Linked DNA regions of Mus musculus. The protein of the gene in region 2 purifies or fractionates together with the protein of the main gene of each other region. This does not show direct contact. Links are inferred from orthologs where the notes say so. Each region holds a gene or a part of one and is shown on either strand. Other genes may lie near its edges.

Region 1 (3,848 bases), on a different chromosome or scaffold from region 2:
ATGATGTCTGATTATGGTACTGCCCGTCGGACAGGAACACCCTCTGACCCTCGACGACGCCTCAGGTGGGCAGGAGTGGGGGAAGAGGTAGCTTTAGGGACTCCTAGAGGTCACTAAGCACCTGTCTGCTCTGAGGGCTCTTCCTCCTAGAGCTGATCTTTGCTGGCTGAAGATGCCATGCTGACTGTTTGGATGCGTAGTTGCCATGGAGGAAGATTTTACAATGGGATTGATTGGTCCTCACTCCCTTTCTTTCTTCCTTCCCTTTCTTTATTCTTGTTATTGTTGAGACAGGGTATCACTATTTAGCTCTGGCTGGTAGACCTTTTTTAAAGGACCCATTTTAGGCTTTGTGTGCTGTTCATTAGTGCCTTTGTCATGTCTCTTGTCGGGATTTCATATTTTTAAAAGGTTATTTTAAAAACTCTTACTTATGGGTGTGCACAAAAAAACATGTTTGGTCTTGGGCTGCAAACATTACTTTAAAATCAGGGTCTATATTTTCCAAGTTAAGAAATAAAGGAAGGCTTATAGTTATCTTGATAGTGAGGGTGCCCTGGCAGCTGTTCTCAGTCTTTGTAAGTAGGTTCATGACCTTCCAAAGCAAAGGTCTTGGCACTTTCCAAATGTATATTAGGTGGTATTGGCTAACCATAAACTGAATTAGTCTGGGACAGGAGTAGAGGCCCTATTATCTAAGCCTGAGTCACTGACACTCTTCAGATGGCGTGGTTAGCAAATTCAACTCCCATGTGACTCACCTTTTATTCCTAAAGGGGCACCAGATCTTAGCTGGTGTAAGCTAGCTAGGGTAGATAGATAGCAGCTATCATTAGAAGAGTCTGCCCAAGGAGTGGGGCTGAAGTCTGCTTGCTCTGACTTCCTCAATAGCCAAGAGAGATTAGACACAGGTGGGTGTGGATGACCAGACTGTTCCCTGCTGTCCTTTGAAGTGCCAGTCACATAGAGCGGGTTTGGGGCTTGGTTCTTGGGTTTATTCCAGGGTGACATTGAGTTTGGAATCCTGCTTGACTAGCAAGATTCTTGACTAGAAGAATTCTGCTTCCTGTTTCGGCCTTCAAGAATAGTGCAAGGTCAAACTTTCATAGCAAGGCAGTGATTAGTGGCAAAAGCACTGAACTTGAAAACCCTGGTTTTAGTTTGCCTCTGCCATTATCTATAGAGCCTTAAGCAAGTTATTGGGTCATTTGTGCAGTTTTGTTATTTGTGAAAGAATCTTGATCTACTGCCTATGAAAGAAGGAAGTATAAAGATAGACTTCCTTGAGTGACTGAAACAAAATCTGGCAGTGGCAATTATTTTTATAGTTGCTTGTCTTAAACAAGAAAAGTAAAATATGCTCAGCATACAGCCTAAAACACCATTCTCTCATGGACAGTTTGGTGTTTCTTGGGGTTTTCTTGAAAACATGTATCCTGTTTTCTCATTAAAAGGAAATATTTTTTCATATAGTGTTTAGCAATCTGCTTTTAAAACAAAACAACTTACTTTATTTTGTTTAAATGACATTTTAAGTTTAAAGGTGCCTTTACTATCAACCCCCTACTTCCCTTGGTTTTTCAAGACCAGGGCTGTCCTGGAGCTTTCTCTGTAGACCAGGCTGGCCTTGAACTCATAGAGATTTGCCCTGCCTTTGTCTCCCAACTACTGAGATTAAAGCCATGTGCCACTACTGCCAAGTCTATTTATTTTTTAATGAAATGATTTGTTCTACTGAGTTTTTTATTGTTTAATGATCAGTGTTGATACCTGTTAGGTAGGCTAATTTTCAATGTTTGGTGACTGTGGGAGTGGTTTTATGGAACAAGCAAGTCTTATTTGGAGAGTCCTACACAATAGAGTCCCCTATCCCAGTGGGAGCCCGGGGGGGGGGGGGGGGGGTTGGGTTGGTGGTGAGTGAGGTGAGCTCATAGATAATAGGGTTCTTCCTTTGTACTTATAAATAACAGTGTGACAGGCTCACCCTCTAGTGGGTATTGATGGTACTGAAACAGGAAGTGTTGCTTCTCATCTGACATCTTTCAGTTTCTTCTTCTGATCCAAGAGCTGGGACATTCCAATATATGTTGGTGTATAGGTGCCATTTGGCAGACATGGAAATGTAGAAGTTGAAGGATGGAACTCTTCTTGGAACATACCTGTCTGACTGAATAGCACGTGAGGCCCTGGGATGAACTGTGACAGCTAGTGTTCAAGTTTATGCCTCAGTAGTACTAAAGCTAACTCCTCAACAATATAGCCAGAAGTCCTCTGTTTTTCTTGATCAGTGCCTCTTCAATTTCCAAAATAGGGCGAGCTTAATAGTTTTGTTCCACTAGCTCTTTCCTGTGTGCGGATTCCTTGTGTGTTCTCTTTGTGATGAACGTTCCACATACTTGTCTTTCTCAATCAGCAAACTTCACAGGTTACTTTTTAAAATTTATTTATTTATTTATTTATTCATTCATTCATTCATTCATTCATTCATTGGTTTTTTGAGACAGGGTTTCTCTGTGTAGCCCTGGCTATCCTGGAACTCACTTTTTAGCCCAGGCTGGCCTCGAACTCAGAAATCCGCCTGCCTCTGCCTCCCAAGTGCTGGGATTAAAGGCGTGCGCCACCACACCCGGCCACAGGTTACTTTTAAGTTATTAAAATTGGACCCAGGGAGAGAGTTCAGTTGGTGAAATGCTTTTTGCACAACATGAGGACCAGGATTTGAGCTCCAGTACCTACATAACAAGCTAAGCTCTGTGGTGGCAGAGATAAGAGGATCCTTGGGTCCTGCAGGACAGTCAGACTAGTTTATCAGCAAGCTTCAGATTTGGGAAGAAACTCTGTCTCAAAAAAAAATAATAATAATAATGTCGAGGGACATTGAGAGTACTTGCACTTGCTCACAAAATTATTAAAAATTGACCATACAGAGGAGACACATGATCTCTGTAGAGCTGTGATCCTACCTTGAAGATGATTGGTAATAGGAATGTCTATGAAGCCAGATTTAACTGCTTGGTTCTTTGTTCTTTCAAAATTGCAGGAGCTATGAAGACATGATTGGTGAAGAGGTGCCGCCTGATCAGTACTATTGGGCTCCTTTAGCTCAGCATGAGCGGGGCAGTTTAGCAAGCTTGGATAGTTTGCGAAAGGGAATGCCCCCACCTTCAAACTGGAGACAGCCTGAGCTGCCAGAGGTGATTGCCATGTTAGGCTTCCGCTTGGATGCTGTTAAGTCCAATGCAGCTGCATACCTGCAGCACTTATGCTACCGCAATGACAAGGTGAAGACTGACGTGCGGAAGCTCAAGGGTATCCCGATATTGGTAGGATTGTTAGACCATCCCAAAAAGGAAGTGCACCTCGGAGCCTGTGGAGCTCTCAAGAATATCTCTTTTGGACGTGACCAAGATAACAAGATCGCCATAAAAAACTGTGATGGTGTTCCTGCTCTGGTCCGATTGCTCCGAAAGGCTCGTGATATGGACCTGACTGAAGTGATTACTGGTGAGTGCCAGGTTAGAGGTCACTGTTAATCTATAGACAGGTATGGATCTAGAACTTTCTAGACTCTTAACTTTTAATTAATTTATTGAATAATTAATTCTTTTTGAGTCAGGGTCTCACTGTGTAGCTCTGGCTGGCCTAGAACTCACTATGTTGAGCAGGTTGGACTTGAACTTGAAGTAATCTACCTGCTTCGGCCTCCCAAATTCTGTGATAAAAAGCATACACTACCATGCCTGGCCAATCCATTATCTTTTGATTATAGGTTCCGAGGTAGTGAGTAGCCTTGGGTCAAATCTGCTTTACAGATTTGATTGGATGACACATGACACACGCAATATTCT
Region 2 (4,376 bases):
GGGCAGGAGGACTAGAATATACACAGTGAACCCCAATATACACAGACAGCGCTCCCAGATATGCAGGTGTCTTGACCTCCTCCTCTCTGGTCTGTGCATTCCACCGGCTGCCTCACATCTGACCTAATTTCCTGGTCTTGCCGTAGGCTCATCCTCCCATTTCCTTGTTCTTCTCCAGGGGTAAATATCACTCACCACTATCTGTCCACCCCTGAGCCCCATTTCTCCCTCCTGGCCTGTGCATCTGCCAGGCAGTCAGAATCATCCTCTGACACGCAGAGAGACGGGAGACCAAGGCTGAGTTTATGGGAGCTGTGCGAGTCTTCCCAGAATTCCAGGTTCCCACCCTTCCTTCAAGAAGTTCTCTGTAATTTCTCCTCTCAATGCCAACTTAGAGCAGGGTTATGATGAACTTTTTATATTTCTCCAACAACAGTAGAACCATTCTCTTAGGGCAGTTCCCAGTTTATCCTTATACTGGCTGTGGTGGTCTAAATTGTATATGATTGCCTCTTCTCTAAATTTCAATATAGAGTATGGCTATGGGGTCAGCCCTATCCCTTTCCCACTTTATACTATGTGGCCACATGTCTGGCTAGCCTCTCTGGATTCCAGAGGTCCCATCAGTCACTTGGGAATTATTCATGTCAACTGAGGGGGTGCTAAGGAGGTGATGGAAGCAACCAGAAATGGTCCACTCAGCCAGGGGTTGAGATTTTTGCTAGAACGGTGGCTGGTGTCTCCGAGGTTCCCGTGCAACTGTGACTCATCTAACTTTGGGAGAAAAAAAGTGTGGCCCTTCAGGCTTCCTGCTCTATGTCCGGTTCTTGTTTAGCTGCACAATGGTCGGGCTGAGACTACGGGGTAGGCAGGTTAACCCCTTCAAGGTACTGGGAACTTCTTCTAGCTCCTAATTGTGAAAAGTTAGAATTTGAAGGACTGCCCTGAGGATCAGCTGCCCCTGGCCCCTTGGGGTCACCTGGTACTTTCCAGTCCGCAAATGGCTGGGCTCAGGCCAGATGCAGGAGAGTTTTGTGTCTTTCTTGCCCACTAATTGTTCTGGGCTGTCAAAATCCTCTCTGCGACTCAGCATTCAACCCAGTTCTAAAGAACCCAGAACCCACCAGCCTCCCAGACCCTTCAAGCTTCCAACCTTGAAGTCATCCACTGTCATTAGAGTCTTGCTTGCCTGCCACATTCCTCCAGGGGTAACTAATGAACGCAGATGCCCGGAGGTGCTTGCAGCAGGGGTAGCTAAGTATATGGCCTCTCTTACTCTGGCCCTTCCTTTCACATGGGTGAGACCCCCTAACAGGAGGTGTGAGACTTGTGCTTTGTGGTTTCAAATCTTTGTGGTATTCACAGCCACCTATGGCTATGGGGTAGTGGGTAAATCCACTCAGGATTCCCTGGCTATCTATCTGCCTCTCATTAGGAGTTAAGCCCAGAGCCAAGAGTGTATATCACAAGTAAGGACTGAAGATGTTTCTACAACTTTATGGTCTAGAAGCCAGAGACCCCATGTAGTCACAGGTTCCAGGAAGAGCCCGTGCTGAGGAGGACTAAATCTAAGTTCCCATCGTCATTCTGACTCAATTTTCACACTAACTCTCCTCTGGATCTCTGTTGTTGTCTCTGAGTACAGAGTTACCCTATCTACCTCCTTGGGACTGGATAGTAAATCCAGGAGCCATTGTTTTGTCGGAATATTCTTTCTGCATGAACCATCTCCACCGCTCACCACAGATTGTGAATAGAATTGCATCCAAAAATGTCCTCTCCTAATGAAGGTTTGGAGACCTTAGGTTACCGTCCCAAGGCCACACCGAAGTGAGTAGGCTGGGATCAGTGCCGAGGGTCACTGTCTCTGAGCTGGGCTTTTGGCTCAGAGGTCCTTGTCTCTAGGGCCTTCCAGAGACTTTGCTGAGCTGTACGGCCACAAGAATTCTTGAGCTCTGGGCTCTGAGTATCTGGTGTTGGGGGAGAAACTACAGGCTACCTTCCTGCCTGCAACTGCCGAAACACAAAGCAGGCTCTGAGAGTCTAGGGGAGATGAGGGAAGAGGGCTCATAAATGGGACTCCAAGTGCCCAGAGCTGAACCTCAGAAGGCCCATCTTGAAAGTGGGAGATATTGACAGAGGGAACGAGTACCCCTTTCAGCTCCCCAAATCCCACCCTAGTCCCTCGAGGTGTTGTAGGTAGAGATAACGGGGCAGGGGAATATAAGTCAGACCTTGGGAAATCTATCTCTTTAGCTCTGGACCAGATTGTCCTTTGGGCAGAAGGCAGAGCTAATCCTGGTAGATAGGGAAGGGAATCACAGAGCCGTTATTTGTCCATCCCACACAAAGCAGATCCTACTCAAATCCAAGGTCCAGACTCCAGTCCTCTGCCCTTGTCCTTGCTGAGTGACAGTGGAAATCCTATCCTCTTTGAGCCTGGTAGTCATAGAAGCTCCAGGTCACTGGAGTTTCCCTGAGTACGACAGTCTACTTACAAGGCTGCTGAGTCTTTCTTGAACATTGGTTCTGAGATAACCGTTTGTGTCCTTGCACACTAAGAGATATGCATTTTTTTTAGCCCTACCCTGGCCCCAGCAGAGAGACTCAGGCTCCGGAGAGGCTGTGTTCCCTTGAGAGTCCTACAGTGGCCATCCCATACGGGCAAGCCAGGACTCTCCCAGTTTTATCTCCATGAGACAGGAGTAGAGAGGGATTTGGGAGTCTCACTTACCTTGTCCGTGAGCAGAAGGCTCTCTCCACTGCAGTCTGTCCAGGGCCGAGCTTTGTGGAGAGCACAGTTGATTGCCTCAGGAGGGGAGAGGGGAGCCACACCCAGGCTGGGAGGGAGGCAGGTTTTCCAACTGGCCCTGGCCCACTTCCCCTCGGGATGGTTTCCTGTTATTGTTCCTTTGTGAGCTGCCTGCAGATAGGCAAGCCCTACGGTGGGCGGCCTCAGCTTGGTCAGCCTGGGCCCGTGGAAGCCTTGGACCTGCCTGGGGTATTCAACTCATACCTCAATTCTAGGTCTCATCGGAGGAGCTGTGAGCCTAGGGGTAGCTGTGGGGGCTCTAAGCTTCTGCCAGAGCATTCAGCCATCCCTGGGAGGCAGGTGTCATATCCCCCACTTTACAGTTCAGAAAGCAGAGGCTTAGTGGGTCTAAGGTACTTGTTTCCTCGCTGGACAGAGTAACCCAGACAGAAACCCAGCTACCTCAGCTTCTCCACAGAGCCGGCTTTCCGTGGCGACTCTGTAGTATGGTGGAACGAAAGGGGGCTGTGGAGTTCTCAGAGTCGGGCAGCTGAGAAACGTGACAGACAATCACTTTCAGCAGCAGATTTTGCCTGTCAGATTCTTCCAGGTAGGGCAGTGTGAGTTTCAGTTCCAAGGTACCAGCCTGGCCCATCTCACTTTACAAATACTGGGTGATGGGCTTCACGTGACCATGGACCAACCAGGGATCCATGCCTCAGTCTCCTCATCTGTATAATGGAGATAGCCATAGGTCTGAGTCAGCAAAAAAGTAAGAAGAGCTAAGAAGACAGCAAAGCAGTAGGTAGACCAGGGTCCCTCAGGACCAAGAGGCTGGGGAGATGAGGTCAAGATTCTCTTCATTCAGCCAGGCGTGGTGGCGCACGCCTTTAATCCCAGCACTCGGGAGGCAGAGGCAGGTGGATTTCTGAGTTCGAGGCCAGCCTGGTCTACAGAGTGTGTTCCAGGATAGCCAGGGCTATACAGAGAAACCCTGTCTCGAAAAACCAAAAAAAAAGAAAAAAAAAAAAAAAGAAAAAGATTCTCTTCATTCATTATGTGATGGGTTAGTAAAAATTTCAGGGTTCTGGCTCAGAGTAAATGACAGACCCCCAGAGTGTACCTTTTGGCAAATTGCCTGGGTTTCTTCATGCATAAAAGTTTGGGAAGTCCCCAACTTGTCCTGCTTTTCAGTGAGGCAAAGAGGGACCATAAGAGAGCAGATCTTTCCGGGCATGGAGAAAATACTGTGGGGGTAGGGTGGGGTGTGGTGGGGGGAAGAAAGGGTTTTCTGTTTGGGGTAGGTAATGTTGGAGATGCCCATTAGACACCCAAGTAGAGACATGGGCTTGGTGAACGAAAGCAAAGTTGGTGTAGCCAATCACTCCCTCCAGGTCCTCTGAGAACTGAACTGGAACGGAGGCCCAGGGAAAGGAGTGTACATTAGGATGGAGTATTAGCGTCCTGAGACCATGTGAAGACAGATGAGGACATCAGAGTAAGGAGAGAGGCCAGGGAACTGTCGCTGGGGCTGTTCTCAGCTCTGAGCGGAATCCATAGCATTCAACTACTGCGTGCGTGCATTCGTGCGTGCGTGCGTGCGTGCGTGCGTGCGTGGGCGAGT

What was found. The genes of interacting proteins can lie anywhere in the genome.
Region 1: the proteins of Cdh5 (region 2) and Ctnnd1 purify together in Homo sapiens (affinity purification with western blotting; 3 studies listed by BioGRID and IntAct, counting the BioPlex papers as one, with this or other methods). This does not show direct contact. The link is inferred for Mus musculus from reciprocal best matches to the Homo sapiens genes CDH5 and CTNND1.

The regions. Positions count from the first base shown.
Region 1 is NC_000068.7:84,616,136-84,619,983, reverse strand, and holds part of Ctnnd1 (catenin delta-1), read left to right. Parts: coding exon 1-65; intron 66-3,040; coding exon 3,041-3,504; intron 3,505-3,848. UniProt on the Homo sapiens protein: Key regulator of cell-cell adhesion that associates with and regulates the cell adhesion properties of both C-, E- and N-cadherins, being critical for their surface stability.
Region 2 is NC_000074.6:104,100,091-104,104,466, reverse strand, and holds the start of Cdh5 (cadherin-5 preproprotein), read right to left. Parts: upstream 2,843-4,376; 5' UTR 2,735-2,842; intron 1-2,734. UniProt on the Homo sapiens protein: Cadherins are calcium-dependent cell adhesion proteins. They preferentially interact with themselves in a homophilic manner in connecting cells; cadherins may thus contribute to the sorting of heterogeneous cell types.